Linked DNA regions of Saccharomyces cerevisiae S288C. Changing the gene in region 2 together with the main gene of any one other region gives a genetic interaction. Each region holds a gene or a part of one and is shown on either strand. Other genes may lie near its edges.

Region 1 (14,939 bases), on a different chromosome or scaffold from region 2:
AAATTCGCAAAATGGCCTTTCTCCTCCTAAAAGCTGATGAATTCAAATGGCTATAATAAATTAAGTAGCCCTACCCTAGTTTCTTGCAAAATTATTCTCCCTTACTTTTTCAAGCTTCCAACTCATTTCATGGTAGCAATGGCCGATCCTTTCTTCTACTTATTATGAAAATCTTTCAACCATAGTGCAATCTTCTATAATTGTACATACTTGTTTCTTCTGTGGACACGCAACTTTCTAGCGGAGTTCAAACCTCTTGGCTTACCTTTACCCATCTTTTCTTGTAGTTTGTTGTTCTTACCTGCTTCTGGAATCTACAATATTAAACATGTAAGCTTCATAACCTTACCATCACTAATAGTATCTCGATCTTGAAAATTGCGAAAGCGTGGAGACAAGGAGCTCCTACAAACACAGTCATTCCAATGCGGTAGTGCTTAGCAAAACCTCGGCTGCGCAGAAGGAGCTTTGATACATAGAAGCTAGCCCACCTACCTAGGCGCAAAAAACATAGCGGTGGGCGCACGTTGGTGGGCCTGGGAAGAAAAAAATTCCCTCGTCGATAATATAAATATGTATGGGTGTTTGGAGATGTTCGGATGTTACTTTATGCATGTCCTTTTTATTAATATTAATGTTGAAGCAATATCTAATGAAGTATATATAGTTCACAATATTGCTTATGTGAAAGATAGTGGAACATTGAGAATATTCAAGGAAAGAGACAGGAGGATTCGAGAAATGACAACAATTCAGCCTTTTGAACCTGTCGATTTATTCAAAACTAACAATGTCAACCTTGATATCTTAACAGAAAACTTCCCTTTAGAGTTTTATTTTGAATACATGATAATATGGCCAGACCTTTTTTTCAAAAGTTCAGAAATGACTGTTGATCCTACATTTAAGCATAATATCTCTGGTTACATGATGGCAAAAACAGAAGGCAAGACCACGGAGTGGCACACTCATATAACTGCAGTGACAGTAGCTCCAAGATTCCGCCGAATATCGCTAGCTTCGAAGTTATGTAATACTTTGGAGACCATGACCGATGTCATGCCCCATGAAGTCAACTTTATCGATCTTTTCGTCAAGTGCAATAACCAATTGGCCATCAAACTTTACGAAAAATTGGGATACAGTGTCTACAGGAGAGTGGTGGGATATTATAACTCAGCTGAAGATGGGTATCCAGATACCCTGAAAAAAGTAGATGACAATAAAGATGCTTTTGATATGAGAAAAGCTATGGCTAGGGACAGGAACAGAAGCGTACGGCCGGATGGAAGAAGCCATAAATGCTATCCACATGATGTAAGATTTTAAGGTATGTATTACCTCGTCCTCATACTCAGAACATAATAATGAACCTCTGTGCTATTCATATTTTGCGATACGCACTAAAATAATACTATCCAGAGGCGCGGACTATAATACTATTAATTTGATTTTTGTATGTACATACTGAATGATATACTTAATTTACATAGAAACATCATTTTAAAATTCAACGTTGGAAGGAGGTTGCGAAAACTGGTTGGCTGGTCTGCTGTACGAGTCGTTTTGGTTCTGATAGGCGCCACTATCATTTTGGTAGTTATTTCTGTTTTGGTAGTTTCCACGTTGGCCGCCTCTTCCTCTGTTTCCTCTGTTTCCCCTATAATTTCCACGCCCACGACCGAGGCCTCTAGAGTGAAATCTTGGTCTGGCAGAAGCTTGTCCAAAGGTGTCAACGTTCAACATTTTTTCTTCTTGCCATCTCATATTGGTATTAGTTTCAGTAGAAGTGGAGATGGTGTCGAAAAAAGACGATTTTTTATTATAAAACTGCTCATCAGATTCATCCTGCTTGTGAACAGCTGATTCTAATTCTTTTTCTTTTTCCACATCAGTGGAATCACCTTTCGTGAATTTTGCATTATTTGATTGAAAGTCAAAATCTTCATTCGGAATATCGACTTTGAAATTGCGGTTGGATTGAGGAGGGCGATTACTTGATCTATTCTTGTTTCTTTGATATTTTGGCTCATTTTCACCATTTTTACCTCTTTCCCTACTTTGCGAGTTTACATTGGTGTCTTGAGGAGTGCTCTTATCATTCATACTAGCAGTAGCGGTTTCTGTCGAAGTTGGGGTGTAAACACCATATCCAGCGACAGCTGCTGGCACATTGGATTCGGGCTTTGGAACTTGGGGGTTTGTTTGCACGTGTGCTTGAGCTTGAGCCTGGGGTGGAGATTGAGCTTGTTGAGGAGGGAATTGTGAAGCGGGTGGCATCATTTGAGGAACAACCGGCTGTATGTCATTGATGTTAGCATCTAAAATGCTTAAATCCTTGACTTCACTGCCGTTGAACTTTACAGAATTGTATACCGTAGGATTCGGATAAATTTCTTCAGGACCCCAGTTCTTGCGACCTTCTGTACCAAAACAGCGAACTTCTTTCAAAGTCACGGTACCCTTTTCAGAGTCAATATCTTCTAACAGCCCCACATATCTGTTGTCAGTCACAGAGATTAAAGAAATAGTTTTACCGATGTACTGCGACATTGCCTTGCTGCTGTTTTTCGATGAATGCTTCTTCTACGACATCCTCACTATTCGTTTATTGTTCTTTCTGACTGCCTCCACGTTATTCTTTACAATCGCGGGTACAGTTTAATTTTTCCACCGTGTAAGGTGACGGGACTATGGTACTGGACTGAGGAATCATTACATATACGTCAGTAATGGGTATCTTCATAATAAACACCTTTATCCATTTAATATGGAAATCGATTGCACTGTCATTTAAAATAGCGGCATCTATGATACTTAGAGGGCAATTGCATTGATAGAAGTTGTGTCATTTGGTGTTCTCCTCGGATCGAGTTTTAAATCCGATTTTTGCATCTCGGTCCGAGTGACTATTTCAGATAATTGGTAAATATAAGAAGAGCAAGAAGATGTGCAAAAAATAGAGAAAATATGATGCTGCGTAAAAGTACAGACACCCTGGAAGCTAGGCCAAGATTGTTACGAGCATATCATCAATGTTAACTCTAGAGTCTGCATTAACTGGCGCTGTGGCTTCGGCAATGGCCAATATTGCAGTTTATCCGCTGGATTTATCGAAGACGATCATTCAGTCACAAGTATCTCCTTCTTCAAGTGAGGATAGTAACGAAGGTAAAGTTTTGCCCAATAGGAGATATAAGAATGTTGTAGATTGCATGATAAACATATTCAAAGAAAAGGGTATTTTGGGTCTGTATCAAGGTATGACAGTCACTACGGTGGCCACATTTGTCCAGAATTTTGTTTATTTCTTTTGGTACACATTTATCAGAAAGTCCTACATGAAACATAAGCTGTTAGGACTGCAATCACTGAAAAACCGCGATGGTCCTATCACACCTTCTACGATTGAAGAATTGGTACTTGGGGTAGCAGCTGCCAGTATATCGCAACTTTTTACTAGTCCCATGGCTGTGGTAGCTACAAGACAACAAACAGTCCATTCTGCAGAGTCTGCCAAATTTACCAACGTTATTAAGGACATTTACCGTGAAAATAATGGGGACATAACTGCTTTTTGGAAAGGTTTAAGAACAGGTTTAGCATTGACGATAAATCCTTCCATCACATATGCCTCTTTTCAAAGACTTAAAGAAGTTTTTTTCCATGACCATTCCAACGATGCTGGCAGTTTGTCAGCAGTGCAAAATTTCATTTTGGGTGTCCTTTCCAAGATGATTTCGACTCTAGTTACGCAACCCTTGATTGTCGCTAAAGCAATGCTTCAAAGCGCTGGCTCTAAATTCACTACTTTCCAAGAAGCGCTACTATACTTGTACAAAAATGAAGGGTTAAAATCTCTTTGGAAGGGAGTTCTTCCTCAATTGACAAAGGGTGTCATTGTGCAAGGTCTGTTGTTTGCTTTCAGAGGAGAATTGACAAAATCTTTAAAGAGGCTAATATTCTTGTACTCTTCTTTTTTCCTAAAGCACAACGGACAACGCAAGCTGGCTTCCACTTGAGAATCCTTACTATTACTGAAATAAGCACATTGCGTTTAGAATCTTTACATATCAAATTTAAAATTTATATAAACAATGGAGATTCACTTTTTTAACCTTACGCCATTTCGTATCTGTCACCAACAGTATGGAAAGTAGTCAAATATTTGTTAATGGCATTGAACTCTTGATCGGTAAGTTTGGTTTTCTGTTCATCAAAGTTTTCATTAACCTTGGAAATAGAAGAGCCACTTGGAATTGGGATAAATTTGGCGCCACTGTATTCCGGAACTTTGTTCCAGTGCTTAACCCATCCCAAAGCCAGTTGTGCAAGAGTAATGGAGTTGTTTTGTGGGCGCTTGTCGACTATTTCTTCCTGTAGAAACCTGACCAAGGTCAGGTTTTTTTTCAAAGACTCGTCGCTAAATCTCTTTAACGACTTTCTAAAGTCACCCTCAGGGATATCAGCGTTTGACTTCAATTGACCTGTCAACAATCCTCTGCCCAGTGGGGAGTAGCAGATGATGGACAACCCCAATTCAGCACATGTTTTAGCAATTCCGTTGTGTAAAATGTCATTACTGAACAAAGAAAGTTCCACTTCAACGCAGGTCAAAAACTTTCCCCAATCCTTGTGAATAGCTCTAATTTGCTCTTCATTAACTTCACTTAATGAAATACCGCCAATAACGCCTTCGGAGATCATCTCAGCAAGCGCTTCGAACGATTCGTAGGGGTAGACCTCTCCTTTCGTGCATAGGGAAGTGTCGATTCTTGCGACTTCGAAGATGTCGATGTAGCCACCAATAGCACTAACTGAATTCTTTACGCTTTGTACAACATCATCGTGACTGCCTCTGGGGGTTAAGGTAGCATTGTCTGCACCACCTTTACAACTGATAACCACATCCTTTCTCAAATCTGGGTATTTCGCAAAGAAGTCGTGAACATACGACAAATTAATAAAATCGGGACCATAGAATTCACCAACGTTGAAAAAGGCCTTGTGCCCACGTTCTCTGGATAACTCAACCACTCTGTGCATGGCCTCGAAAGCCTGCGACTGAGGGATAGGCTCGGCTCTCCAAGTCAAACTCATTAAACCATAGCCAGTATCTAACTTGTGGATGTTGTTTTTCAAATCGGCGACAGACATTTTATTTTTACTTTTTTTGGTGTATATTTTAGTTAATATGTACCTGTTTTTCTATTCTACATAACATAGAAAATGGCAAGGAAAATAATTTTAAGAGAGAGTCCTGAGATGAAGTAAAAAATTTGGTAAATTGACAACCCCTTATATAATAAATGCCTATTCTACGGTTCAATAGACACTCTATTCTTTGAGTAATTTTGAGGGAGAGCAGCAATGATTAACTTAGTACCGTTCTACCAAGTACGCCCTTGATTACCTCATTAACGAACAAAAACGCAGATCCCTTCCTAAGGCGGCCGAGACGGCCGCTTCATCCGTCTCGGCCGGGTGTCATTCTTCTAATATATTTGGTAAAGGACTTGGGAGATGCGCAAAAGGGAGATAGTTGCGCTTTTTTTTTGTCTAACAACTAACGGGTAAAAATGTGGACAGCACGAGGAGTAGTTTAAGAAATAACTTTAAAAAAAAATATTGGCAAAGCAGATATGCAAGAAGTTACGGGTAAGGCTTCTAGTAGTCGTGCATGTGTTGATCCCCTACGTTGATACTATCTATGTGTGCAAACACCAGCTTTACAAACAAAAATTTCATATAGTAGTGTATTTTATTTATCTTATGTACAAAATCTATAGTAGAGTTCACTACATTTTCTTTTCATTGCTAAAAAAGCAGTTTCGTGCAAGTATGTATAAAAAGAATGTTGGCGAGAGTAGCGGAGAGTGTATCGTGCGGTTTAATGGGCCAGGTGAAAACTGGGTTACTTCTCTTTGATGGCAGCGGCTTCTCCGATAGGCTTGGTGTCATGCGGTTTTACGTCTGGAGCAGCCGCATCTATGTTCTTGTCTTGGTCGTCCAAGCTCAACTCATCCTTGACGCTCACAATGGCGTTCTCTTCTTGCTGCTCTTCTTCCTTCATAATTTCTTCTTGCTCCCTCAATTGTTTCAATTTTTGCTTAGCGGATGCCTCATCTTCCTTAACGACGTTTACTTTAACCTCATGGTATAGTTCATCAGGGATACCGATTAAAACGTCACATAATGCGTCGTACAATGACTCCTTTGATTGCACATTACCGTAGTTATAGGCAGTAGCCATGATTAACAGCGTGGATGGGATCTTATCCTTGAGCCTCATGTTCAGCCACAATCTTAGATTCGAATATAACACGCTAGGCTCTACGTCTACACTTCTAATACCTCTGGAGGCGCATGCTGTTTTCAATTCAGAGAGGGAGAGTTGTTCTGCATCCTCGTAATATATAGATAGATCATCTTTTTTCAATTCAAGCATTTTGTATCTGATACGGTAACGTAGCATCACATCAGTGCCGAATGGTTGCAAATTCATATACTTCGCTAATGCAATCAAGTAAGGTCTTGTCACATTATCCAATACAGTATCATCAGTGAATAATCTAGCTACTTCGATTAGCTGTTGACGAGACTCCGGCACTCCTGTAGCACGGACATGTGTGTAGAACCTGTTAAACAAAGCTTTTTGTTCCTCGGAAATATTATTAGGTTTAAAATGGGACTTGTTATTCTTTATGATTTCAGACATTAACTTCCTTGTGTTTCTTAAATTTTCTAGTTTATTCTCGCGTTTTTTACTTGATTCATAAGTAGAAGGAAGTAAATTGGGGAATAACTTTAATGCAAATGGAAGAAGAAGTTCAGCAAAGGGTATAATGAGGAAAGCAGCAAATGGAACCAACCGAACGATATCTTGAGTAGTTCTTTTCAGTTGTAAATTTTCTCTTCTCGTCAATGGGTAGCCTGCAGCACTCTTCATGAGCAATTTGGAAGAAATTTTTATCTCCAACCCCAAAAGTTTGGAACCATCCCAATAATGACGAAGGGCTTTTTGCATCTTAACCTTAAAGGGTACTTTTTCCTTCTCTTTTACTGGAGAGACCTTACTCGCACTTTCTTGGTTTCCGTCTGTCGTTTTTAACTCCTTTTTCGAGCTTTCTGGCACCGAAGAGTTCCAACGATTGAACTTCAAATTAAAAGATGGTATTACTCTCAACCTGCTTACCATAATACGGGGAGAAATTGGAGTAATTCCTGGTGCCGGATGATGGATTGCTCTCTTGATTGGCAAAGACCTGTATTTCAGCATTGTGTCTTGTTGATTTCTTTATGAAATTTTCTTTACTCGAACCTAAATATCACTGGCAAAATACTTTCAATTCGACAAGTGTTACTTTATGCAGTTATCTTGTTATTTCGAAAATTGCCACTTTGCCAATTAGATGAGACTGACACGATCTGAATAATGTCCTCTTTCAAATAAAAGTGGAAAATGTTCGCGCGGAAGCAATTCTGTCCAACGAGAAAAAAGAAACGTGGGAGACAACGGTAACTCGATGAAGGCAAGCAAGTATCATTTTTAACACTTCACTCTTATTATTGCAAGGTGGTAATATAGTTAAGGATTTTTGAATTAAAATTACTTAGACATTCAACTATATACAAGTCTGTTATTTATAGGAAGGTCGCTGTGTCTATTATTTTCTTTCCTCTTCATGAGGGCATTAGAAGTATCCATTTTGAGATTTTTTTTGAGCTTCTGAGAAATGAACGATATTCTTATTTTGATGTATAGAGATATTGGAAGAAGAAGATATAGGTGGACGAACCTTGTCTAGTTATTAGTTATGAGTGAATTTTTCGGCCGGAAGTAAGTTTTGATCCATATTCCCGGACTGTTCCTGCAACTTGGAATTCTCAAGGATGTCGCGCTCTATGTTTGCTTGATTCTTTCCTGAGTCTGTGGCACAATTACATCCCTCTTCTTGTGTAGGTGTTTTCTTTTGATTATTTTCGGAAATCGCAACTTTAGATTCGTTGTTCTTTTCCAGGCGAGTACTTTGATCACTTCCGGAAGTGGTATCGGCAACAGCAATTGGATCAGGGCTGGGTTCGGGATGTCTACCACATTGGCAGTTACCGAAGCCAGGACAGCTCTTCGCTTTCTGAATTTCTCTTTGGATGTCCCACCTCTTTAGCATGGCTATTTTGCATCTATTGAAGAAGACTTCCGATAAAGCTAACCCAGTAATTACAGCAAAAACGTATGTTAAAACAAAAGACATGGTAGCAAGCATCAACATATAAATAATCATCGTAGAGGTAAATACTAAGAACGCCCTTATAATGTCATGAAAGAGATCCATTAAAGATGGAACAAATATATCGCTTAATAAATTTGGCAGCTTAGGTAAACCTTGAATTTCAAAATTATTCTCTGTGTCATAATGTTTTCCTTCGTCTTTGGAGTTTGCTGAAGGTAAAGTGGAATATTTATTTTGCTTGTCCCATTTTTTAAACCAGTGAACTTCAAGGCACCAACTAACGAAAAGCAGTAGTTTGTAGACGAAAGCAGCCACAACAAATAATAAGAAAATACCGAAAGCCTTACCACTATTGTTTGCATGCAAATGGTGAAACAAAACTGGATAGTTTTTATATGTGGGAGTCAGATAATAGTTCATTCCCATACTCATGTCCATATCCATCCCTGAAGAGCTACTGTTATCAGACGATGACATACCTGACATGCCTGACATGCTAGAATCAGAAGTTGTCTGTGCACTGGCGGAGCTTGTTGGTGTACTGCTCATCGACATAGACATACCTGACATTGAACTGCTTCCCATCGACATACTTGCCATTGACGACATAGTCGACGCCAACGTTTTGCTCGCACTGGACATCGCTTCCATGCTCATCGATGACATGCTCGATAATATCGTTTTGCTGGCACTAGACATCGCATCCATGCTCATCGACGCCATACTCGATGCTACTGTCTTGGATGCACTAGACATGGCGTCCATATTCATGCTGCTACCCATATTCATACCTTCCATTTTGAATGTCAAATATAATACACTTTTTTTTATTTTCTATTCGATTCTTCCAACAAATGTAATTTGAGTCGCCGCCGAACTATTACTCCACCTGTTTAAGTTTGTGCTTAAAAGTTTTGTTATGCAAATAAAGCTATGGAGTAGTTGTTTATTAAGAGCACACTGCGTATCTGTTTTACTAATGTGAACTAATCATAAGAGGAATAAAACATACAAGACCCTCTCGAGATGACAATACAACATTTTTTATGTTGCATTTTGTAGCCCGAATCTTGAAAAGTGCTCTTTTCAGGATCGTGCCATTTTTGCTCATTTTACCGTCGTCTTGAGCAAATATCCCATGATTTGCATCAATACATGAGAACATAACCACAGTAACGAATAGTTGAGGTGCAGTTTCGATCCTTAAAAATTACTGAATAATTCATATGCTATTTAGGGAAGTATTTACGTATCGGTTTGTAGTATAGTAGGGAAATGTGCCAAGTTGCTTAGATAACAAAAACGTGGAAAGGCTGGAACGAGCAAAATACGGTTCAAAATGCGGCCTTGCGGAAAAAGTTTGGTTCAGGAAGCTCCTGAAGAGGAACAATCGGACTTGTGTCGTTGTTCCAAAATTTTTCTATTTCTTGTCCTTCACCATCTTGGGAAGAAAACCCTAATATAGAGCCGTATCTCTGCTTAAGATTCATTCCGATGATTTTCAATATTTCCTGCAATACAACGGTTCCGAGCTTGAAAACTTCATTTCTCCTACGAAAATAAGTAAAAAGGTTCTTTACAAGTAAAATAGGATTTCCCTTTGAATGTTCGACAATTTTCTTCAAGTCTTCATTTTTTATGGCGAATCCGTTTATTTTCAGAAAGGCCTCTAGCTGAAGGAACATTTTCCTGCTTGCAATTTCCTTCTCTGCCATTGGACTTGTGATCATTATTGATAGCTTACTTCTTTGAGCGGAATATATAGAGATTTTGGACTCGAAGAATGCTAAATATTTCTTTAGAGTTAATTTTTGCAAAAATGAGATATCAATCATTTCATGATCTTCTTGAAAATTAAGCCTTCCTTCCGCAATTTTATTTCTTACCTTCCTATGTTGTCTCATTTGTTTATTGTTGAGAGTGTAATTATCACCATTTTGCACATTTGCCACTATCTCATTTAATAGGTCTACAGGACCAGCCGACCCTTCAAACTGTTTCGTACTGTTCTGTTTTAAAAGATTTAAGAACGGCTCTAGAAGTATCCTTCGAAAATCAAACTCGGTGAATCTATTTAGCACCTGCAGCTGCAAGTAAGATAAGTACTCATTGATCCTAGTTTCCAGATTGTGCCCCGAGCTGCCAGACATTACGGTTATATGAATCCCAACAGTGTCTGTTAAAACCCTGAGTCCTCCCAAAACAATGTACCCAATTTGCTTTTTATTTCTTAGATCAGGCACTAGCGTTAGTGAAAATAGATATTCGGTAAGAAAGGTTAGTGTCAGATTTTTGATGTCATCTCTTTGTGCAGTCTGAATAAAATACACAATACTATTGTTGGGATCATCCTGGTGACCATTATATGATATAAAGGCATTTGTGCCTTGATCTAGATCTTTTGTACTGGGAGGAGGGTAGAGACGTATGGTCGGTTTGCTCCCTTCATTGCTGATTTTTAGGTGCTGCGTAAAATTGTTATTTAAGTAACGGTTGATTGCGTCAGCATATTCAAGGCTTCCCTGCATGAACAAGACCAAATGTTTAGGATTCCTCCAGAATAAAAAACAAAATTTTTCGAAGGATTCCAACTCGGTAAGCTCTAATGCATTAATTCTATCCTCTAAAGTCCATATATATTTCTCTAAAACAATCAGCAATCCAACGCTAGCTAGCTTCACGCAGTTGTCCGATGACGCGTTCTTGTATTTATTTCTAACTAAAATCCTTGCCTTTCTCAAGGTATCTTTAGAAAGAAACGTTGGATCTGTTGCAATAAGTTTTAGCGTATCCACGAACGTCTTTACTATTGTGAAAACACCCTCAGGGAATCCAGAAATAGTAAATCGCAGTGTTACGTTGCCCTTACTAGATGAGGCAATCTCATATGTGTAACCAATTCTCAGAGCGGGATAAAGGAATGAAGAGGTGATGATAAATAATGCCTGTGCTAGTACTTCCAGGTGGATTGTTGCCTCCGGACTAGGTTTGATGCCTAACCCCAAAACTTCAAATGATACGACGGATTTATTGTCTGAGGCAAAATTTGGGTCTTCTTTTAAGATCCACATCTCATAATTCTGGTTCTCACTGACTAATTGAGGCTTTGTCCTAGTGGGCTCACTATAAATTTGAGGTCTAAGCGTAGCAAATTTCGATTTTAACGAGCATTCTAAGAAGAGCTGTTGTAGTTTTAAAGGATCGCTGACGCAATCTGGTAAAAAAAGATTACCTGTGGGAAAATTAAATTCATACGAGCTGTTTGAATGAAATTTATTATCACTTGCTAGATGAACGTTTGCCGTATAATACTCAAATTCATAGAAAAAATCGGTGCATATATCACTTTTATTTTTCATTTTATCAAATATATTACCAGATTTTATATTCCCTAAGAGTAAAAGGCGCATGTTGTCATGATTCATGAAAGATTTTAAAAAATTTTGGAACTTAATAGCTTGCCCTGTCCACCATTGTATATTGGCCTTTGTGTTTTCATATTTTTCGATGTTGGGATCATCTATTTCTATAAGAGATTTAAATCCTTTGAATATATTAGGGGGGGTTAAACATTCTAAATCGTCCTGAAGAATACCGCTTAATTTTGAGCACTCTTCCATTGGAAGATCCTCTGAACTTTGGTACAGAAAGCTAACGAGGTCGATCAAATTCTGTTCTTTCAAAAAAGTGATTAAGTAATCGATGTTCATTACGTAAAAGGAAGGCAAGAGTCTATTAAGTACTATTGTCGTAATTCTCTTAATATTTTCCCAGCCACTGTTTGTCAGTTCTAATTCCAAAATTAATCCTATGTCACCAATAGCGAATTCTGAGGTAAAGGCAAAACAGCCTGTGAGCCAGCCTTTTGAAGCTAAGTAATAGCTCAAAGATCCTGGAGACTCATCGCCGAAAAGTTCACACCAAAGATGACTGTATATTTTAATGTCATCCTTTGTAAACCGAGTGTTTTTATCGCTAACAGGAAAGAGAAGTCTCATTATAGGTACCTTATTTGAATTGATAAATATCGAATTGCATTCAGGAAATTGTTGAAAACACATCGTATTTTTGTATTTTTTTTCCCACGTTGTGTTCAGTATTTTAAAGGTTTTCAAGTCACTGTAGTCGTTTTTGGAAGAATCTTGGCGTTTTTTTAAAGACTTCGATCTTCGAAATGACCTCGTCCTAATCGATATACTCCTTTCCTTTACAGCGCTTTTGGGTTTTATATCGCCAAATTTTGATAGAGCTAGTTTCGTAAGAATATTAACAGACTGCGGTCCCCTTATGCACAAGGTTATATTCTCCCCAAAAAAATTATTTTCGAAGTAAGTGTTTAATGAGCTCTTTAGTTTTATTTTTTTCAGTTGTGGAATGCTAGATAACGAGTGTATGTTCCCAGTGGAAAAGCGACTGAAAGGATGGTCGGGATTGGCCAATATTCTTGCTGCGTGGTAGAATATTTTTGTGGTTGATGATATGTTTCCCTCATGCTCACTTTGTATTGCATATATCTCCTTGCTTATCAGTAAAGGGTTGAAGAGCGGTTCTTTGAAGAATGAGGCAAACACATCTAAGATAGATTCAAATGTAAATTCGCCGTTATTTTGAGTATTGGGCAATTCAAAATAAAAAGTCGTTTGCTCCCCTGTGGTAAAGGCATTTTGAGAGCCGTTGTTTTTTGCGATTAGTGTGTGGAATAAACCAGGATCAGGGTATTTTTTGGAACCGGCAGAAAGAATCATGTGCTCACAAAGGTGCGCCAAACCGGCAATATCCTTTGGATCGTTATGGGAACCTGTGCAAACAGTCAGTGAGCATGAGCTTGAAGTATCTGTTGGATCCGATATTATTAATGCTAAAATTCCGTTTGGCAGTTTACAAACTTTATGAGTCCTGTTGCTGTAAGACAACGGGATGTAAAACGAGACTTCATAATTAGTTACTTCTCTCAAGGACATCAGTAAAAAAACTTATTCAGTTGCTATTTTTTAACGCCAGGCACATTTATATTATATAATCAAGACACAAAAGGATAAAACAAAGGTGTTAACTGTTCTGCATACTCACCAGCGTAAACTATCCTGAAAATCGTGTAAATAAGTGTTTCATTTTTTTCTTGCAGTGAAAAAAGGCATGTAAAATACCGCATCAAGTAACTCCGCCTGCGGTTTCAAGATTAACGGCTTGAGACAAAATGGGACACTTACTCATGCAAAGTGGGAAGAAATGATTGCAGAAAAACCATATGTGTAACAGAAAAAAGTTGGATAGTGCTTACCAGATGTTTACCTTAATTTCTTGATGGATGAAAGAAGTATAGAAGTTTTACTATTAATCCAACCATCGGAAATTTGTATAGGAAAGTAGTTTATTGGAGTTATTGGATATACTGTGTAAACTATTTCTCGAAATGGTGTCCTTAGATTCTCTTCTTGTTCTATTGAAGAAAAATGGTATCCTTTTTTTAGACAATGTATCATAATACCATAATACGAATACTCTTCAGTGACGATAGTCAATTCCTTCAATTTAGCAAATTTTTAAGGTAGAACAACATACGGTTACAATATATAAGCAGGCACAGAAAGTCATACTGCTGAATTAATGCGTACTCGAATAATACCGGGTATCTAACTATATACGTTTTAATATTATATTGATATTATTCTGAGGCAACTATATTTCCAACACTATATTTTATTTTTCCTTTATTAATCCAACTCGGAAATTCCTTCCTTAATATATCGAGTCTTACGTGTGCGATAATGCGAATGTTCCGTATGTTGGAGTTAAACTCCTATTTCATGGACTAGCGCTCATGCCACTGATATAATGTCATACATGCGTTATGATATTACATAAACGATGAGAAACAGCCGTCGACTTTGGTGGAAGCAGAAATGCAAAAGTTGATAATATAATAGGATTGATAGTGAAATAGGATCGATGAATAGACCATTTAATACGTAAAAAGAAGAAACTTTTTTGTTATCCCGAAATTTTTGTTTCCTTTACGAATTTATATATCTTCGAGAAGATGTCTTAATATACTCTAAATAACTAATAATGCACTCTTTATCAGAATGTACCTCGAAAAGTGTTCAGCAAATTCAAGCAATTGTCAGAAATAATGTCGGAAACAATGGTTTTTGATTATCTGCGCATGTACTATTGCCAACAAGTAAAATGTTTCCACTGTAAATACACAAATCAAACTGTTTACGTGACATTGTACAATTGTAGAATAAGAAAAATGTTGAGCATTCCGTTCAGATAGTAATGAAAAGCAAACTAAGATTTTTGTAACGAATATCAACCTGAAGTTAACATTTATGGAGTATCAATACTTACATTGAATCTGCGGTGAATTGACCAACCTACTATTATATTATCAATGGATTTGTTTTAGCTTTTAGGAATCTCTGTCACTTTGATTTATATTATAAACATTGCATGGTATTGTACCCTAGCAGCAAATTCAAAAATGTATTAATTTACCATGCTAGCAAATGGAAACAATAGTTAGTCATCCTTCTAGAAGTTGAAAAAATGAAATGAACATAATTTATATTTCCAAAGGATCTCTTTATAAATTGATATAATAGCGAGAAATCCTTTTTTCGTATCGCTAATCTTTTGCGTTTATAGTTTATCATTTCTGTATATGTATTTTATATATTCTGTTAAAAATATTGTAACTAT
Region 2 (17,074 bases):
TTTTCAAATATGCGTTCTTCCTTTAATATTGTATAATAATAACCCAGTTGATTATGGCTATTGTCTGTTTTAAGTGATATATATATATATATATAGATACATACATTAAATTTATTTTTCTTTGATTAAATTAATGTTTTTTAGTATAGTGATACATATTTCCCGAGTTAAAAGTTAAGTAAATAGTTTTATGCCATTAAACGGTGCAAAAACAGGTGTAATCTAAAATATTAAACTCCATAAAAGAAAACGTTAAAATTACAAAATAAATGAAATATGTTCCCTGTGTTGGTATATGCAAAGTAAATAAAAATTAAATCTTTATGCAACGTCAAGACAATCAACTTTATTATGCCAGATTTAATAAGCAGATCTATCAATTAAATCACGTTCTTTGTAATCAATAACGATTCCAAAAGCCTTCAACAATTTTCTCCTTGCACCCAAGGCAAGAACGCCTTTTTTTTCTAAAGTCTCGTCATCTAAGTAAATCAATTCGATCCACGGGGTTCCGCTTAAGGCATCTGAATACTTGTGTAGTCTTAACGATTTTAACCACATGGGTATATTTTTTAGTAGCTTGGGGTCTGTCAAACTCTTTGGATTCATCGAAGAGTTACTCGATAAAGGAGTGTTTCCGTTAGATGATGTAGATGTCGATGTGGCACTTGTAGGACCAGCATTAGGATGCGTAATGGTATTATTGAACACGTTCTGGTTGGACTTATTCAAATCAGTTCCTGATGGTCTTGAAGTATTCGAAAAATATGAGGTGGTATTATGCAGAGGATGATGCAATGAATGATGGTGATGAGAATTGTACTCATTTCCCATGTTAGACCTTTTCTTTGGTTGGAAAAAAGAATGGGAACTTGAGAGAGAGTGAGAAAGATAGTTGGGATTCTCTGATGGCAACTTTTTATATTTGGTACTGTTACCGTTGTTGAATTGTTTCTGGACAGGAATGAGATTTGGGCTTGAATTAACATGAGGCTCAGCCGACTTGGACCTTTGACTAGCGTCGGTGATGTTGTCATATATGGGTTGGCTAATTGGTATTGAATGTGGCTGAGGGGACCAATTTTGATACAACAAGTTATCGGTATTTTCAGGGTCATTAGTTATAGGACTTGAAGAAAAGACTGAATCAATATTCAAAATTTGTGTGTCATCCCTATTAGGTATAGGTGATGCAATTGCAGGTAGCGGTGGGGAGATGAAGGGAGTGTTTGTCAAAGTCTCTATTTTTAACTTAGTATATTTCAAAACATCATCATTCAAAATGGAAAGGATATTGTCCATTACAGTATTTTGTTGGCTGCTGTTCAGCATGGATATCCAAGAACATAATTGGTTGATGTCTTGGCTGAAATTGGTGCCCATGTTCGGATCGTTTTTTTGGGATTGAGACTGTTGTTGCGATTGACGGGATTGCGGCAAAGGAATTGAACCACTCTGCGATGGAATACCCAAAATATTATTTGGAGATCTCTGAAATGAATCCAAATACATAGATGTTGAAGATAAAGTAGATTGCAACGCCTTTGGAGATTGCATCATGGGGGAAACGATAGCAGAACCAGCTGCTGTAGACGAAACTGTTTGAATATTAAGGGAAGGCAACGACGCCTGCTGTTGCTGTTGTTGCTGCTGCTGTTGTTGCTGGAGCGGCTGAGCCCTGGTTCCCGCAGTGTCTAGCATAAAGGATTGCTGATCAAGCATGTCATTGAGTGACATACTATGGGATTGAGGGGACAAAACATTCGCGGTCACGGATGAATTGCCCTGGTTATTGCCAGAATTGCTGCCCGGATTGTTCTTGTTTATGGCAGAAGATTGTGGTGATAGCAAAACGGCGCCTGGATGAGCTCCTCTAGACATGTTATATGGTGACTTGGAACCTGTGGGGAATTCCTCATACGGATGTTTCATGATTTCTTTGCTGACAATTACTTTATATGAACAGTTTTTCTCTTCTGAAAACAATATCTATAGTATATACAGTGATCTAGATTGCCCAAGGGACGAAGTACCAGTGTGACTGCAAAACACAATGTATTCGAGACAATCCTATGGTAGTAGTAGTAGTCGTTGTTAGATATCTCATCGCCAATTTGCTACCAAACTTATTCTGGAAAAAAATAATGAAAAAAATTTGCGTTTTTTCTTTTTCCAACAGATAATTTGCTGTGGTGCACGGTCAAATGGCAGCTGTATAACCATTAACTCTCTCATTGTGGAAGAGGTCTTCTAGGCACAACATCGATGAGAAAGTCAAACATGTCACTCTTTTGCAGGGCCTCTGCGATATCTGCCTTCTGCAAAGTTCGTCTTTTATTCCTTTCTGCCACGCACCAAGCTCTCATAGTCAGTTCTGTAATAAAGATCTCACAGGCTTTGGCGAAAATGATGGGGGCCTCTGCACTAATCATCTTGACATCTTCATCCGTCTTCATGACCTTGCGGATTCTCGCAAATGGTAAGGAATGTGATTTGAAGTCATCTTGATGCTCGGAACCAGGTTCATTCGTAGACTCGATCTCGTTGATTAATTCTTGCCAATAACGGATCATTATCTCCTTGTAGTGGCCCACCAATCCCTGACCAACGTTCCTAAACACATCATACTCTTCATCGTCCTCGTCCATTTCTCCGTCTGCGCCGTCGCTGTTTCCATTATCTTCGCCTTCAAGCGATCCTCGACCACTTGGCGGTAGATTAGCTTGGTCATGGCCCGCCTGGATAGCTTGCAACTCCTGTACCATCCGGAACTCTTCCTCAGAAACAGGTAGCCTCGTATTTTCCCCTTCCCCTTCGTTTTCTTGCAGTTGTTGCTGTTCTGAATATTGCCTTGGCATATTCATTTCCTCTCTCTGAATCATCGTACTGGGTTGCGGTCCCTCCGGGAGCGATTCTTGAGGTCCTTGTCCTTGTTGTGGTGAGAAATTCCTATCAGTCATTATGCGAGTAAACAATCCTGATGCTGCAAATGCGTCACAACTCTTACATTATCTCCTATTCCCCTCTATTCTTCTTCTTTGCTTACGCGGTATTATAGCAGCTAAGGAAGCTTAATCTCCGGAAGCAATCTTAAGGGAGCCGTCCCACGCAAATTTAAGTTTAACTACGGAAAAGGGAGCACAACACTCTTCGATTTTGACATTTCGGGATTTCTACACTCTAGTAAGTATTGCGCTAGGAGGGACCATGATTTACTATGAGGACTTGGCTATGGGGTGCTCAGAATTGCATAAGTGAACTCGAGGATAGCTTTGGGCACTATCACGTACTAAGTGATATGTATTGATATGTAAACCTGCAATGAATGAATGGATTAAAACGGATCTTAATACTGCATAAAAGAGGACGGCAAGAACAGCTGAGAAGCGGTACGCATCTACACAAAGTATGCCAAGAGAATTCAAATCCTTTGGGTCTACAGAAAAGTCTTTGCTGTCAAAAGGACATGGAGAGCCTAGTTACAGCGAAATATACGCTGAGCCTGAGAACTTTTTAGAGATTGAGGTGCACAACCCTAAAACTCATATACCAAATGGGATGGATTCGAAGGGGATGTTTACAGATTACGAAATAATATGCCGTACAAACTTGCCAAGTTTTCACAAGAGGGTATCGAAAGTAAGGAGACGATACTCAGACTTTGAATTCTTCCGCAAATGCTTGATCAAGGAAATTTCTATGCTTAATCACCCAAAAGTCATGGTACCTCATTTACCGGGTAAAATTCTCTTGAGTAATAGATTTAGTAACGAAGTCATTGAAGAGAGGAGACAAGGTTTGAATACCTGGATGCAATCGGTAGCCGGGCACCCGCTTTTACAATCTGGTTCTAAAGTTCTCGTGAGGTTCATTGAAGCTGAAAAGTTTGTCGGCTGAAAAGAACTCTTTTACGTGAATAAATAATATAGATTATATAAAAGAATGAATAGAAAAATTTAAATAAATAATGAATAAAATAATTAAATAAATAATGAATCCTGTGATTAAGTTAGCGTGTACTTTGGTCCATCTCCACCTTCGGGTACTTTCCAAGTAATATCTTGTCTGGGCGCCTTAATATCACAGGTCTTGCAATGGATACAATTTTGTGAATTGATTTGCAGTCTCGTACCCACAGGCGATTTTTCATCTTTGACGAATTCGTAGACACCTGCTGGGCAGAACCTCGATTCAACACCTTTCCAAACGGGAAAGCTTCTCTCGGCGTACTTTACCATATCTTGTCCAGGAACCCTCAAGTGACATGGTTCATCATCATCATGGTAGGTTCCGGTTCTAGACACGGAGGTCAATATATCAAAGGATATCACACCATCAGGCTTGGGGTATTCTATCGGTTTGTACTTGGAAGCAGGTTCCAAAATTTCACCGTCATTTTTTTCATCAAATTTCAGTGTCCACGGAACTTTTCCCTTCAATATCAAAGAATCGATTCCAGAGTAGATCATACCACCATATCCACCAAGTTTCCCGCTGAAGGACGGTCTAATATTACGCACTTCGTATAGTTCCTTATATATCGATGATTCTTTGAATGCACTTTCATATGATTCCAAGTTAATAGTTGCCTCCTTATCAAACATAGCCATTTTGGCGTCTTCGTCTTCAACCTCTTCTAAGACAGGTAACCCTTTTATGGACTCAAAGATACTTTCAGCGGCAAGTAATCCACTCTTCATCGCAGTATGAGTACCCTTGATCTTTGGAACGTTCATGAAACCCGCGCTAGCCCCTACCAAAACACCACCAGGGAAATTCAACTTGGGTACAGATTGCAGTCCACCTTCATTCAATGCTCTTGCAGCATAAGCGATACACTTACCTCCTTCTAAAACTTTTGAATAGTATGGATGATGTTTCATCTTTTGAAACTCTTTGTAAGGTGAAACATAGGGATTCTTATAATCTAACCCCACGACAAGGCCCACAGTGACCAGCCCATCACCAAAATGGTACTGGAAACCACCGCCATAAACATCATTTGTCAACGGGTACCCCATGGTATGAGCTGCAAATCCCTTGTTAAAATTCTCCGGCTTGACTTCCCAAACTTCTTTAATACCTAATCCATAAGTTTGGTGCTGTCTGCCTTTTCTTAAATCATATTTTGCCAAGGCTTGTTTTGTTAAGGAACCATGACAGCCCTCTGCTAATACAGTTTGTCTAGCCCAAAATTCCATCCCACGTTCGAAGGTTTCCTTAGGCTTACCGGACTTCGAAATACCAGCATCTTTAGTAATTACACCCTTAACGGCGTTGTTTTCATCATATATGAGATCCGAGACAGCTATTCCGGGGTAAACTTCAACTCCTACTTCTTCTGCCTTTTCTCCTAAATATCCGACGACTTGGTTCAAAGAGACAATATAATTACGTCCTTTATTGATCATTTGAGATGGTTCTGGAACGCTGATCGCCCATTTCCCCTTTAAAAATTTCAAATGTTCTTTAGTTACCAACGTAGCTAACTCCTTTGGTAACGGAATGCCAATGTCAGACTTTTCATCAGGGAATAGTTCTTTCCACACTCCCGGTTCCAATATAGCGCCGGAAACAGTTTGTCCACCCAATACACTGGATTTTTCAAGAACAACGACACGCAATTGGCCTGTTCCTGACGAATTGTCTAACTGTTTTAATTTGATTGCTGTTGCTAATCCCGCAGGCCCTCCTCCAACTATACAAACATCCACATAGTCGCGCGCCCTTGGTTCATTTAACAACTCTTTCTCTTCTTCAGTAAGATTTGCTTTGTTCAAAAACCTACACGACAAGCTAAACTTTCTCGTCATATCTGTCCCTAGAGCCAAATGACGAGATTTTGCGGAAATCGTCATTCGGATCCCTCTAATTAAGTTCTCGTTAGTGAACTTAATCATTTTCCCTTTCCCAGAGTGGATTTTCCTGTCTAGCTTAAGTTTGTTCTTTTATGTGGCCTGAAGTAACAGTAAGTATATAACGTATTGAATAAATTAATTAAGTGGGGACCACTACTACTCAGTCCGCTTGAAAAAGTTGAATTTTTCAGTTAACCTTTTCTTTTCTACAGTCATGGCAAATCGCGATCCATTGGTAACAAAAAATAAAGCTTCCCGCAAATTTCGGATAAACTAACTGTGGGGTAAATGAAGATCAATCCATATATATCCGGAATAACCGAAAACAGCCAAAAAAAAAAAAATTACTGTCATTAACAGTAAATTAGTCCACCTCTAACGGTTTAGTTGTTTTTCATTTATTTATTTATGGTTGTTTATTTATTTAAATATTGTAGTGAAAGTTAGAACTAGCTAAAAATTGTCCAAATGAGAGGAACACATATTATTAGTTGATAAAAAAAAACAACGACATAGGTGTAGAGCAGCCGTTATGCTCTTGTAAAGGGAGATAAAAATCAATTGAATATATTTTCTAGGTCATCTAATGTGATTGATTCAGGAGATTCAATATCATGTGTCAAAAATCCATTTCTCACAATTTTCATCCAATTCGTAACTTCGTTTCGTGATTCTTGGGAACTTGGGTTTGATTCTCTTCCGTTATCCTGACTGGAATTGATGTCGGATAAAGATTCAGCAGAAGAAGCAGCTGCACTATTAACTGGTGAACTACTACTACTGTTATATTGAGAGCTCTCTGAAGAGCTCTCAATTGGAGTCTGTGTAGAGATTACTTTATGGATAGCAGCCAGTTCAGAAGAGCTACGTGAATTTTTCTTAAACCCATTTTTCGGCAAAAGCTTAGAAAGCCTTGGTGCAGCGGCAGCGGCAGTAACATAAGTATTTGACGATGCATTATGCGACAGAGAAGAATCTGGCGAAATATTCTTGGAGCTTGCAAATGTAGAAAGAGATGCAGAGGAACCCTTTTTGGGGGTGGATAAAACTGATAAAGATTGGGATTTTGTTTGTTTGCCAGGTTTAGTAGTTTTGGTTTTCTTTGGCTCGGTCATTGACTCGTTAGTATCTTCATCCATGTAATTTCTTTTTTTATTATTGTTTTTACTCTTCGATGCCGAATTAGGTGTCAGTAATTGTTGCTGATTATTACTCATCGATGGGGAAAGATTTAGTGACACTGGAGAAGTGGAATAAGGTATGTTGAATTCTGGACTTAATGAAAAGGCCAGATTCCCTACATTCAAATTTTTTGAGAAGGAACTGTTAGAAGACATATTTTTCATGTCCGTCATAGAACTTGAATAACTGTCATTGTTAACTAGCTGGTTACTGCTGGACTCCCTTTTTTTCTTGCCATTTGAATTAAAGTCGCTTGTATCACCGGAGGTCTCCAATTGTTGTTTAAGTTGCATCGTAACAGCTTGAGCATGCTCCTTGTAATCGGGAGATAATATGCCTCTGTATATATAGAGCATCCTTCTAGGAGATGAATTAGACCATTCCCTTGATAAAGCATAAGTTAACGTTTTCTCACCTTTTTCAATTTTTTTAACATAAGCGTTCAGTTTTGCGGAAATTAAATTTGACAACTTGGTTGATAAATTGGACATATCTGGATGTTTTTGCAAAAGCAAGTCACACAGTTGTTTGACGGTCATGCCTTGTTGATTCGGATCCATTTCCCATAATATTAAAAAAACTGCGTGAAGAACGTCATCATCCAGAGGGGAGTCTCTATTTTCGGGTTTTGGCCTCTCACCAGTAACAGGTATTAGCTTAGAAATTTCTAATAATGGATTGTCTTTTTTGGGAGCACCAAAGTCCTTCTTAGGTTTGGTAGCTTTTATTTCCTGAGATGAGGAAAACGAAGAACCGGCCAAATTATTATCATCAAGGGCCATGCCTGGCTGGTTGCCGATAAGATCCGTGCCTGGATTCGAAATAGTGTCAGCTCTAGTTGTAAATCCCATTGAATTCAACTGAAATACTGGAGAATTTGAGTTATGAAGAATTTCATTCTCTAAAGTTGGTATTTGCAAAGGTCTGGAATTTGCCAATGCCATTATAAGTTCTTCTAATCAATTTTTTTATATGGTTTTTTGTCTTTTTTCGTATTTTTTTGTCCTTTTCTAAAATACTATAGCAAAGCAAAAAAAAAAGTAAAAAAAATTTGATTTATGAAAAGTTGAAATATCCTGGAAAAATTAGTTAAAACCTCCCAATATTTCTGTAGTTATTGATTGATTGCCCGTTTATTTTCTATTTTGCTGATATTGTTTCTGCTAACGTTTCTTTATATAATCCCGCTTGCTGACACAGAAGTGACTAAAATAGGGTAAAAAGGGAAATTATTACGAAAAGGGCAGTCCAAAGCAAATAAAAAACAATGGAATAGAAAATAAAAAAAATTAAAACTCAAAATAAAATGTATTCCAATGTAAAGGAAAAAATAAAATAATAGGAAAAAAGAAACTATTATTTTAAAGCCTTCAATAATGGAATGCTGAAAAGAAAAGTTATGATTTTGGTAATTTGAGTCAAATAGTCAATCAATGACTTTTTGTTTTTGGTTTTTCAGAAATAGAAATTACCAAGAACCTTAATTGATAAAAAAAAGGGGAGCTTGAAGGGAATACTGATAATACAAACAATATCGTGTAAAAAAAACCTACGTAAAAAATTAAATCAAGCCAAGCGAGAACAGAAAAAAAAAATGAAGTAAAATATTGGACTGGAATATGAAAATTTTAGAAAAAGAACTAGCCGGGATAAAAGTACAAGAAAAGGAGAAGAAGAAAAATTTTTGACTTCTCATCGCATGGGTTTTCAGAAAATTTTCTTATCAAAAATTTCATCGGGCGTATGATTTTCGTTTTTTTCTGCGTCGTTCCTTCACAAAGTATCGAAAACCCCAAACAAAAAAAATATAAAAAAAAAAAAACACCCTTGCACCCATAACATACGGCGAGATGTAAGGTAGGTATAGCAGACTTAGATATTGCGTGCGAATCAGTTTGATTCGCAAGTAAAATCTTCATGCGCATTAGTATAGAGCGTTGGAAGCAGTTAACATAGTATTTCGGTTTTTTTTCCCTTTCATAAAAAGGATTCTTCTTCCATAATCCCTTGCGTGAGTTGAATATGAATGAAACTCGTTGAACTAGTGAACAACAAGTGATTGTATGCTCATATTTAGTACTAACATTTCAGCATTGTATAATCCTTTCTTTACTTTCAGGATAAAGACATACATTCTACGTATGATCAAGAGTAAGGAACAAGAATATTAAAAAAAACGAGATGAACCTTGAGTATATATATATATATTTACACCAATGTGCCCTACGAAAATAGTGAAAAAAAAATTTCAGTTGCAACCGCGTTTTGTCCGTTAGTATCTTTTGTCCGTACACCTCGTACTAAAAAAGAAAACCAGTCCAAAAAGAAAGTCAAACGGTCCAAATCGGAAACACCGACGCTCAGCTTAATAAACATTGTGTAGAGCCAAGCGGAAAAGAATACCATTTAGCCGCCGATGCAGAAAACCGGTATATAGAGCTGAAAACAAAGATTGAACTCTCCAGACAAGTTAGAAGTAAAAGCAAGTAATATATAAGTTTTATAAGTGAATATTCGGTCGAAGGTAGTGTCAAAGTTACATCACCAAAACTACTTACTATTGAGGAAATATCAGGTGTGCCAATACGTTAATTGATCTGTGAATAAAAAACGAAGTTGGAACATTGTATTACCTTTCAAATATGCCATAAAAGGTTGCTCGTCGACTAAGTAATTAATCGATTATAAGAGGGAAAAAGCGGGGTAAGTAAAATGTAATATCATCATATACGATATACATACCGCCTGTGGAATCGTTCAATTGCTACACATGTCTAACTAAGGACGTACTGTCTATATGTTTGCTTAAGTTGGCTCTGCACAAAATAATATCAGAGCCTTCCACTGGGATACAGATGCTTTCCCATAATGCTTTAAGGGCCTTTGATTGTTCAAAGGTGATTATTTCACGAAGATGTCTAACCTCTTCAACATCGATATACCAACAAAGCAGCGTTCACTTACAAGAAACAGATGATGGACATTCAGGAAATAGAGAAAAGCACGTCTCACCGTTTGAAAGGGTACAAAATTTGGCTGCTGATTTGAAGAACGAGTTGAAAGCTCCAGATTCAGATATCAATGAAGTTTTTAATGACTTTAAAGATAAGATTGAATCGTTGAAACAGAAATTAAGGAACCCTTCACCTATGGAAAGATCACACTTGTTAGCGAATTTTTCTTCGGATCTCCTACAGGAATTAAGTTACAGAAGCAAAAATATGACGCTAGATCCTTATCAAGTATTAAACACATTGTGCCAATACAAATTGGCACGCTCACAACATTTCACGATTGTTTTAAAGTACCTTCTATATAATCAATCACCACAGGACGTTATTGCCTTATGGGTGAAGTACTTGGAAACCATTTCCGAAAACCCAGTGATCTTACTTCAAAATAGTTCTTCTCGTGCACATATGCAAAATATTGCAATTACCACCATTGCTTACTTATCTTTACCAGAGAATACTGTGGATATCAATATTCTGTATAAGATTTTACAGATCGATCGTAAAATGGGCCAGGTTTTACCTTTTAACATGATTAGAAGAATGTTAAGTACAGAATTTAGCTCTCTTGAAAGAAGAGACGTGATTATCAAAAATCTAAACACTTTGTACTATCAATACACAGTACAGGATAGTGATCATTTCTTAAGTCAAATTGAAAATGCTCCTAGATGGATAGATTTAAGGGATCTTTATGGCCAATACAATAAACTTGAAGGTGAGAAAAATGTAGAGATCATAAGCAAGTTCATGGACAAGTTTATTGATTTGGATAAACCCGACCAAGTTGTTACTATTTATAACCAGTATAGCAAGGTTTTCCCAAATAGTACGTCGCTGAAAGATTGTCTTTTAAGAGCTGTGTCGCACTTACGAGCTAAATCGAGTAAAGAGAAGTTGGACAGAATTCTAGCAGTCTGGAACAGTGTTATCAAACCAGGAGATAATATTAAAAACACATCTTATGCGACGCTAGTTAACGCACTAACTGATTCTGGAAATTTCAACCATTTAAAGGAATTTTGGGAAGAAGAACTTCCTAAAAAGTTCAAGAAAGATCCCATCGTGAAGGAAGCATTTCTCCTGGCCTTATGTCAAACTTCGCCTCTAAAGTATGACCAAGTCAAAGGGGAGTTAGCAGAGACTGTTAAAACCAAGAAGTTGTTCAATAAAGTTTTATTGCTAATGTTAGATGATGAAAAAGTGAGCGAAGAACAATTCAACACATTTTACTATAACCATTATCCATCAGATGGTGTGTTACCCCCTACTTTGGATACTCTAAGCATTAAAATGTACGCTAATTATAAATTTCAGGCAGAAGATACACGCCCACAATTCGATCTATTGCAAAGTGTTTCCATTAATCCCACCGATTATGAAAAGGTTGAAAAGATTACGAAAGCCTTTATTTCAGTGTGCCCCACTGTCGAGCCGATTCGTCAACTTTACAAACAATTGGGAACTCACTTAAATGCTAGGAATTATGCAGACTTTATTTCCGCAGAGTTTAATAAGCCTGACGGCACAGTGGCCGAGGCAAAGAATTTGTTTTCTGATTTTCTCTCATATCAAAAGACTAGAAAGAGAAACGTGGATAATACGCCTCTAAATGCTTTATTATTGGGGTTCTGTGATAAACTTTACAAGAGTAAACATAGCGAGTACGTTCCCTACATCGAAAAGTACTACAATCTAGCTAAGGATTCAAGTATCAGGGTGTCGAACTTGGCCGTTTCGAAAATTCTATTCAACTTGGCCACATTTGCACGCAATACTCAGCAGTTATCTGACAAAGAGGTTGCTTTTATTAACCAGTTTATGCGAGATTTAGGCACTAATGAGGGTTTTCGTCCCAACCCTAAGGATATTCAAATTTTAAAAGAATGTGATGGAATTACTGTTCCAGAAAAGTTGACTTAATACACTTGTCATAAGAAGACAATAAGAAAAGCTCAGAACCAATTTTCTGCACATATGATGCTGTAACTATATAATGATTTCTTGTATATAACTTCCGTATAATAGTTATTGCTTCCATGCATGATTCTTTCAAAGAACAATACAAAATAAAAATAAAAAAAAAAAAAAAAAATGAAAAAATGAAGCTACAAGTCGGGTAACAAAAAGTATTTCAAGATCTCTAAATATAAGTGGGCAAATAAAGTTAATGCCAAAACTCCATGCTACTTTTCACCTGAACTTATTGGGGGGAGTTAAGTCTATAAGTATCCGTAACGTATGGTAGCGACATCTTCAAAGAGGACGTTGGATCCGAAGGAGGAACATTTGCCTGCTGACAAAACATCCACTAATTCAAGCAACACTATAATATCTGAGTTGGCAACACAAGAGAAATCCAGCTCTAGTGGTACTACACTAAAATTAATAGCTCTTAATATCAAGTCCATATCAGATGAAGATGTGGGATATATCCAAAATGTTGAAAGACTGTCTTTAAGGAAAAATCACTTAACATCCTTACCAGCGAGTTTCAAGAGGTTATCAAGGCTGCAATATCTGGATTTGCATAATAACAATTTTAAAGAAATCCCATATATTTTGACACAATGCCCTCAATTAGAGATCTTGGATCTGTCCTCCAATGAGATTGAAGCATTGCCAGATGAAATATCATCGTTTTGGCAAGATAATATTCGTGTATTATCATTGAAAGACAACAACGTTACTAGCATACGTAATTTGAAATCGATCACAAAATTAAACAAGCTGAGCATCTTGGATTTAGAGGATAATAAAATACCCAAAGAAGAGCTTGACCAAGTACAGAGTTATACTCCATTTCATACGGGCATCCCCAAAGAAGAATATTGGGCAATTGCGATATCACGATATCTAAAAGATCATCCTAACCTACCTACTCCAGAACCTAAAATATCTAGAGCAGCGAAAAGAATGGGATTCATAAATACGAACTTGTCTAATGGAGCAATGAATGAAAACAATATAATTTCACTTGCCCCAAGTGCAAATACAACTATAAGTGCATCTACTGCAATGGTCTCATCTAATCAAACCTCTGCAACATCTTTCAGTGGTACAGTCAATGCAGAATCAGAACAAAGTGGGGCAGTGAATGGTACGGAACTATACAATCACACCAAATATAATGACTACTTCAAGAGGTTGTCGATTTTACCAGAAGAGTCAATGAGTAACGGGCATCAAAAAATATCGCATGCAGAGTTGGTTGTTTCCTGTCGGAAGCTCCTATTTAGTTTTACAGAATGCCAACAAGCTATCAGAAAAATCGCCTCTTTCTGTAAAGAGAAGGCCGTAGCGGTTAATGTAGTATCATTATTATACTCTGTCAGATCACATACTGATAATCTGGTGGAGGTCTTGCAGCAAACAGAGAACGAAGACGAATCGCATGATCAGGCGTTAATCAAGCTGTGCCTCACTATCATCACAAATTTTAAACAAATTATAACATTGTTGAGAAAAAATTTTGAGATTTTTTTCAAAGAAGACGATCTATGCTTCATAAGGATGTTTTATATGACATTAATGTGTGCTTATATGGAAATGTATAATGCATGGTCTTTTATCAAAGAAGATGATCAAGTGTCCGGTTCTGCAAGTAAGGCACCCAAGAAACATTCTTTTTCGAGGCACGAGACATCGTCCAGTAGTATCACAAGCGGTGGAGGACCCGCAGCAAGTACGACCAGTACACATTGTAGCGGAAACATAAAATTACTGCCGAAAACAAGGAGCACAAGAACACCATCTGCATCTGCATTGCTTTCAAATAGTAATATTCTGACGGGTGATACCACTGCTGTTCCTCTTTTATCACCAAATCTAAATGGTGCACACACCCATGGTCCAATTTTGGGACACCAAAATGCAATAAGCAATGGAAGTTCTCAAACGAACATGAATGAAGTAAAAACTACTAGCGATACTATTCCAAGGCAACAGCTGCTTCAGCACAATAAATCCATCAGCGATTCGAAAAAAGAGTCACAGGCGCATGAACCTAAACAGCATCCGGTTATGACTTCTTCAATAATTAACGCATCAAATAGTAATAACGTCTCGAATGTTAATATAACCCCACCACCGATGAATGGTGGTGGTGCCGCGAACAGTAGTGCTAATGTAGTGGAGACAAATATTGACATTCAACTGTATCAAACGTTGTCCACAGTAGTTAAAATGGTGAGCGTTGTATATAACCAGTTAACTTCAGAGATATCCAAGATAGCCATTGCTAGCACCATGGGAAAGCAAATTTTGACGGACTCGCTAGCACCTAAAATTCGTGATTTGACGGAAACATGTCGTCAAGCGATGGATTTATCCAAACAATTGAATGAAAGGTTAAATGTATTAATACCGAACGATTCAAATTCAGAGAAGTATCTGACATCTTTGGAGAAGCTGAAAACGTGGGAGATAATGAATTCGTTCTTAAAAGTAATAATATCAATTCTGGCTAATACTAAAATCGTAATGAGCGACGTGCCTAATTTGAATGAGCTGAGACCTAACCTAGCCAACTTGGCGAAGATTACCAAGGATGTCACTGTGATATTGGACTTGAGTTCATACAAGGCTGTATCAGTAAGCGCCAACTCTCCGGAGTAATATAAAAACTTGCATTGTGAGAAAACGCGAACTTTAGAATACGTAATGGGAGGATCATATACCCCATGGTACTGAAATGTATGCTTTATATATATATATATATATATTTATATATTTATGCATGAAAAATGAGGAGTTCGGAAACAGAAGTTTTAAAAGTTACAGATTTATTGTATAAAAGATACACGCCACTGGTTGAATGTAAATGTTAAAATGAATTGGCATGGTCTAAAAATCCCTCGTAAATCTTGCTTAATTCATAATGGTAACCATGGATACCCTGGGATTCCAAAAATATGGGTAGGCGAACTCTTGTTCGTTCCGCGATACCTTTTAACCTCACAATATCAGTCCCATTCAATCCTGCTATGTTCTTGCTGGCTGAAGACGTTTTAGGGACTTCTTTGCAATTATCATTATCATCAGTTAGAATTACAAATATCCTGTCAAGGATGAAGAAGAGTTTGAATAATTTGGATAAAGTGTCATTAATCTCTGAGTCTTCCATATTTTTGAATGTAAATTTTTCAACGTAATCGATGAGATCGTCCGCAATTTTTATTAAATAGGACCCTTGACCAAAATAACTAGAATATCCGCATGTATCTTTTGGGTTTCGGGAATCTGGGCAATGTCTCTTTTCTTCTGATTGAAGTAAATAGTCTGAGTTTGGAACATGGGCAATAGAATACCAAACGAAGTCAACTAAAGTTTTTAAATCCTGCAGCAGCGGAGTAAGACTGGCATAGCCGTTTTTGATATTCAGGCCCCTGGATTGAACAAATTTTCTTTGAATTTGTAAAAGCTGATCATCAACGTAAGAGATGAATTTGGATTGTTGAGACATTGACAATCTTCTCGGGTGTGACGTTCCATTGTGATCATTTGGCAATAATTCACTCAGCTTTGTGGCAGACGAAAAGGGAGAAGACACGTTTATTCTAGGCTGGAAATCGTCAACATCATCGAGCATAGTTACGTCGTTGATTGTGTTGTTAGTTTCATTGTAAACATCATTGAATTCTGGTGTATGATATCTTCTTTTCTTATTACAATTACGCTGCCATATAACGTTGTCTATGTTAGAATTTACGACATCACCTGAGTCTGCACTAATTTCTACATCTGAGTTTGGATCCAAGTTTAAATCATCAATGTCTTTTTCATCTAGATCATTTAAGTTGTTCAAGTCCAGTTGCTCATTCGGTTGAGCATGTAATGGTGTGTTTGGCTCAGACATCAAAATACTGTGTTGAAATCTTTTATTTTTATAATATTTCTTTCCTTACCAGGGCTTGGAGTCTCTACAACAGTTAGCTTACTGTTTATTCTGCCACATTTCCACCCTTTTGTGGGGCTTCTATTTCAAGGACCTTCATTATGGAAACAGGGCGAGGTTGTTTGTTCTTCCTGCATGTTGCGCGCAGTGCGTAAGAAAGCGGGACGTAAGCAGTTTAGCCATTCTAAAAGGGGCATTATCAGAATAAGAAGGCCCTATGAGGTATGATTGTAAAGCAAGTGGTGTAAAATTGTGTGCTACCTACCGTATTAGTAGGAACAATTATGCAAGAGGGGTCCTGTGCAAATAAAAAATATATATCTAGAAAAAGAGTAGGTAGGTCCTTCACAATATTGACTGATAGCGATCTCCTCACTATTTTTCACTTATATGCAGTATATTTGTCTGCTTATCTTTCATTAAGTGGAATCATTTGTAGTTTATTCCTACTTTATGGGTATTTTCCAATCATAAAGCATACCGTGGTAATTTAGCCGGGGAAAAGAAGAATGATGGCGGCTAAATTTCGGCGGCTATTTCATTCATTCAAGTATAAAAGGGAGAGGTTTGACTAATTTTTTACTTGAGCTCCTTCTGGAGTGCTCTTGTACGTTTCAAATTTTATTAAGGACCAAATATACAACAGAAAGAAGAAGAGCGGAATGAGACCGTTGTATAGCTGCAACCTTGCAACCAAAGATGATATTGAGATGGCAGGTGGCGTAGCTCCTGCTCACCTGGAAGTTAATGTAGGCGGCTATAATACAGAGCAGACAATACCTATAGTAAAGCATCAGCTCGTGAAAGTTGGGAGAAATGATAAGGAATGTCAACTCGTTCTAACGAATCCCTCTATCTCCTCTGTTCATTGCGTGTTTTGGTGTGTCTTTTTTGATGAGGATAGTATTCCAATGTTCTACGTTAAAGATTGTTCTCTTAATGGAACGTATTTGAACGGTTTGCTTTTGAAAAGGGACAAAACGTATCTTTTAAAACATTGCGACGTTATTGAATTATCGCAGGGAAGTGAAGAAAATGACATTAAAAAAACACGACTAGTTTTTATGATTAATGATGATTTACAATCTTCTCTGGACCCAAAACTTTTAGATCAAATGGGTTTTCTG

What was found.
Region 1: mutations in GDS1 (region 2) and AXL1 together harm fitness more than expected from each alone (negative genetic interaction), as found in Saccharomyces cerevisiae (2 studies listed by BioGRID).

Annotation. Positions count from the first base shown.
Region 1 is NC_001148.4:780,301-795,239, reverse strand, and holds AXL1 (Axl1p), read right to left. Parts: upstream 13,196-14,939; coding exon 9,569-13,195; downstream 1-9,568. Other genes in the region: 40S ribosomal protein uS12 RPS23B, read right to left, coding at 211-275; peptide alpha-N-acetyltransferase complex B subunit NAT3, read left to right, coding at 742-1,329; SCD6 (Scd6p), read right to left, coding at 1,504-2,553; ANT1 (Ant1p), read left to right, coding at 3,036-4,022; YPR127W (pyridoxine 4-dehydrogenase), read right to left, coding at 4,120-5,157; YLH47 (Ylh47p), read right to left, coding at 5,915-7,279; high-affinity Cu transporter CTR1, read right to left, coding at 7,812-9,032; THI22 (putative phosphomethylpyrimidine kinase), read right to left, coding at 14,939-14,939. UniProt on the Saccharomyces cerevisiae protein: Probable protease. Involved in axial budding.
Region 2 is NC_001147.6:996,047-1,013,120, reverse strand, and holds GDS1 (Gds1p), read right to left. Parts: upstream 7,985-17,074; coding exon 6,416-7,984; downstream 1-6,415. Other genes in the region: VTS1 (Vts1p), read right to left, coding at 361-1,932; HAP5 (Hap5p), read right to left, coding at 2,232-2,960; SNX3 (Snx3p), read left to right, coding at 3,409-3,897; CIR2 (electron-transferring-flavoprotein dehydrogenase), read right to left, coding at 4,005-5,900; MSC6 (Msc6p), read left to right, coding at 9,896-11,974; SOG2 (Sog2p), read left to right, coding at 12,293-14,668; TFIIH complex subunit TFB6, read right to left, coding at 14,877-15,908; serine/threonine protein kinase MEK1, read left to right, coding at 16,610-17,074. UniProt on the Saccharomyces cerevisiae protein: Involved in nuclear control of mitochondria.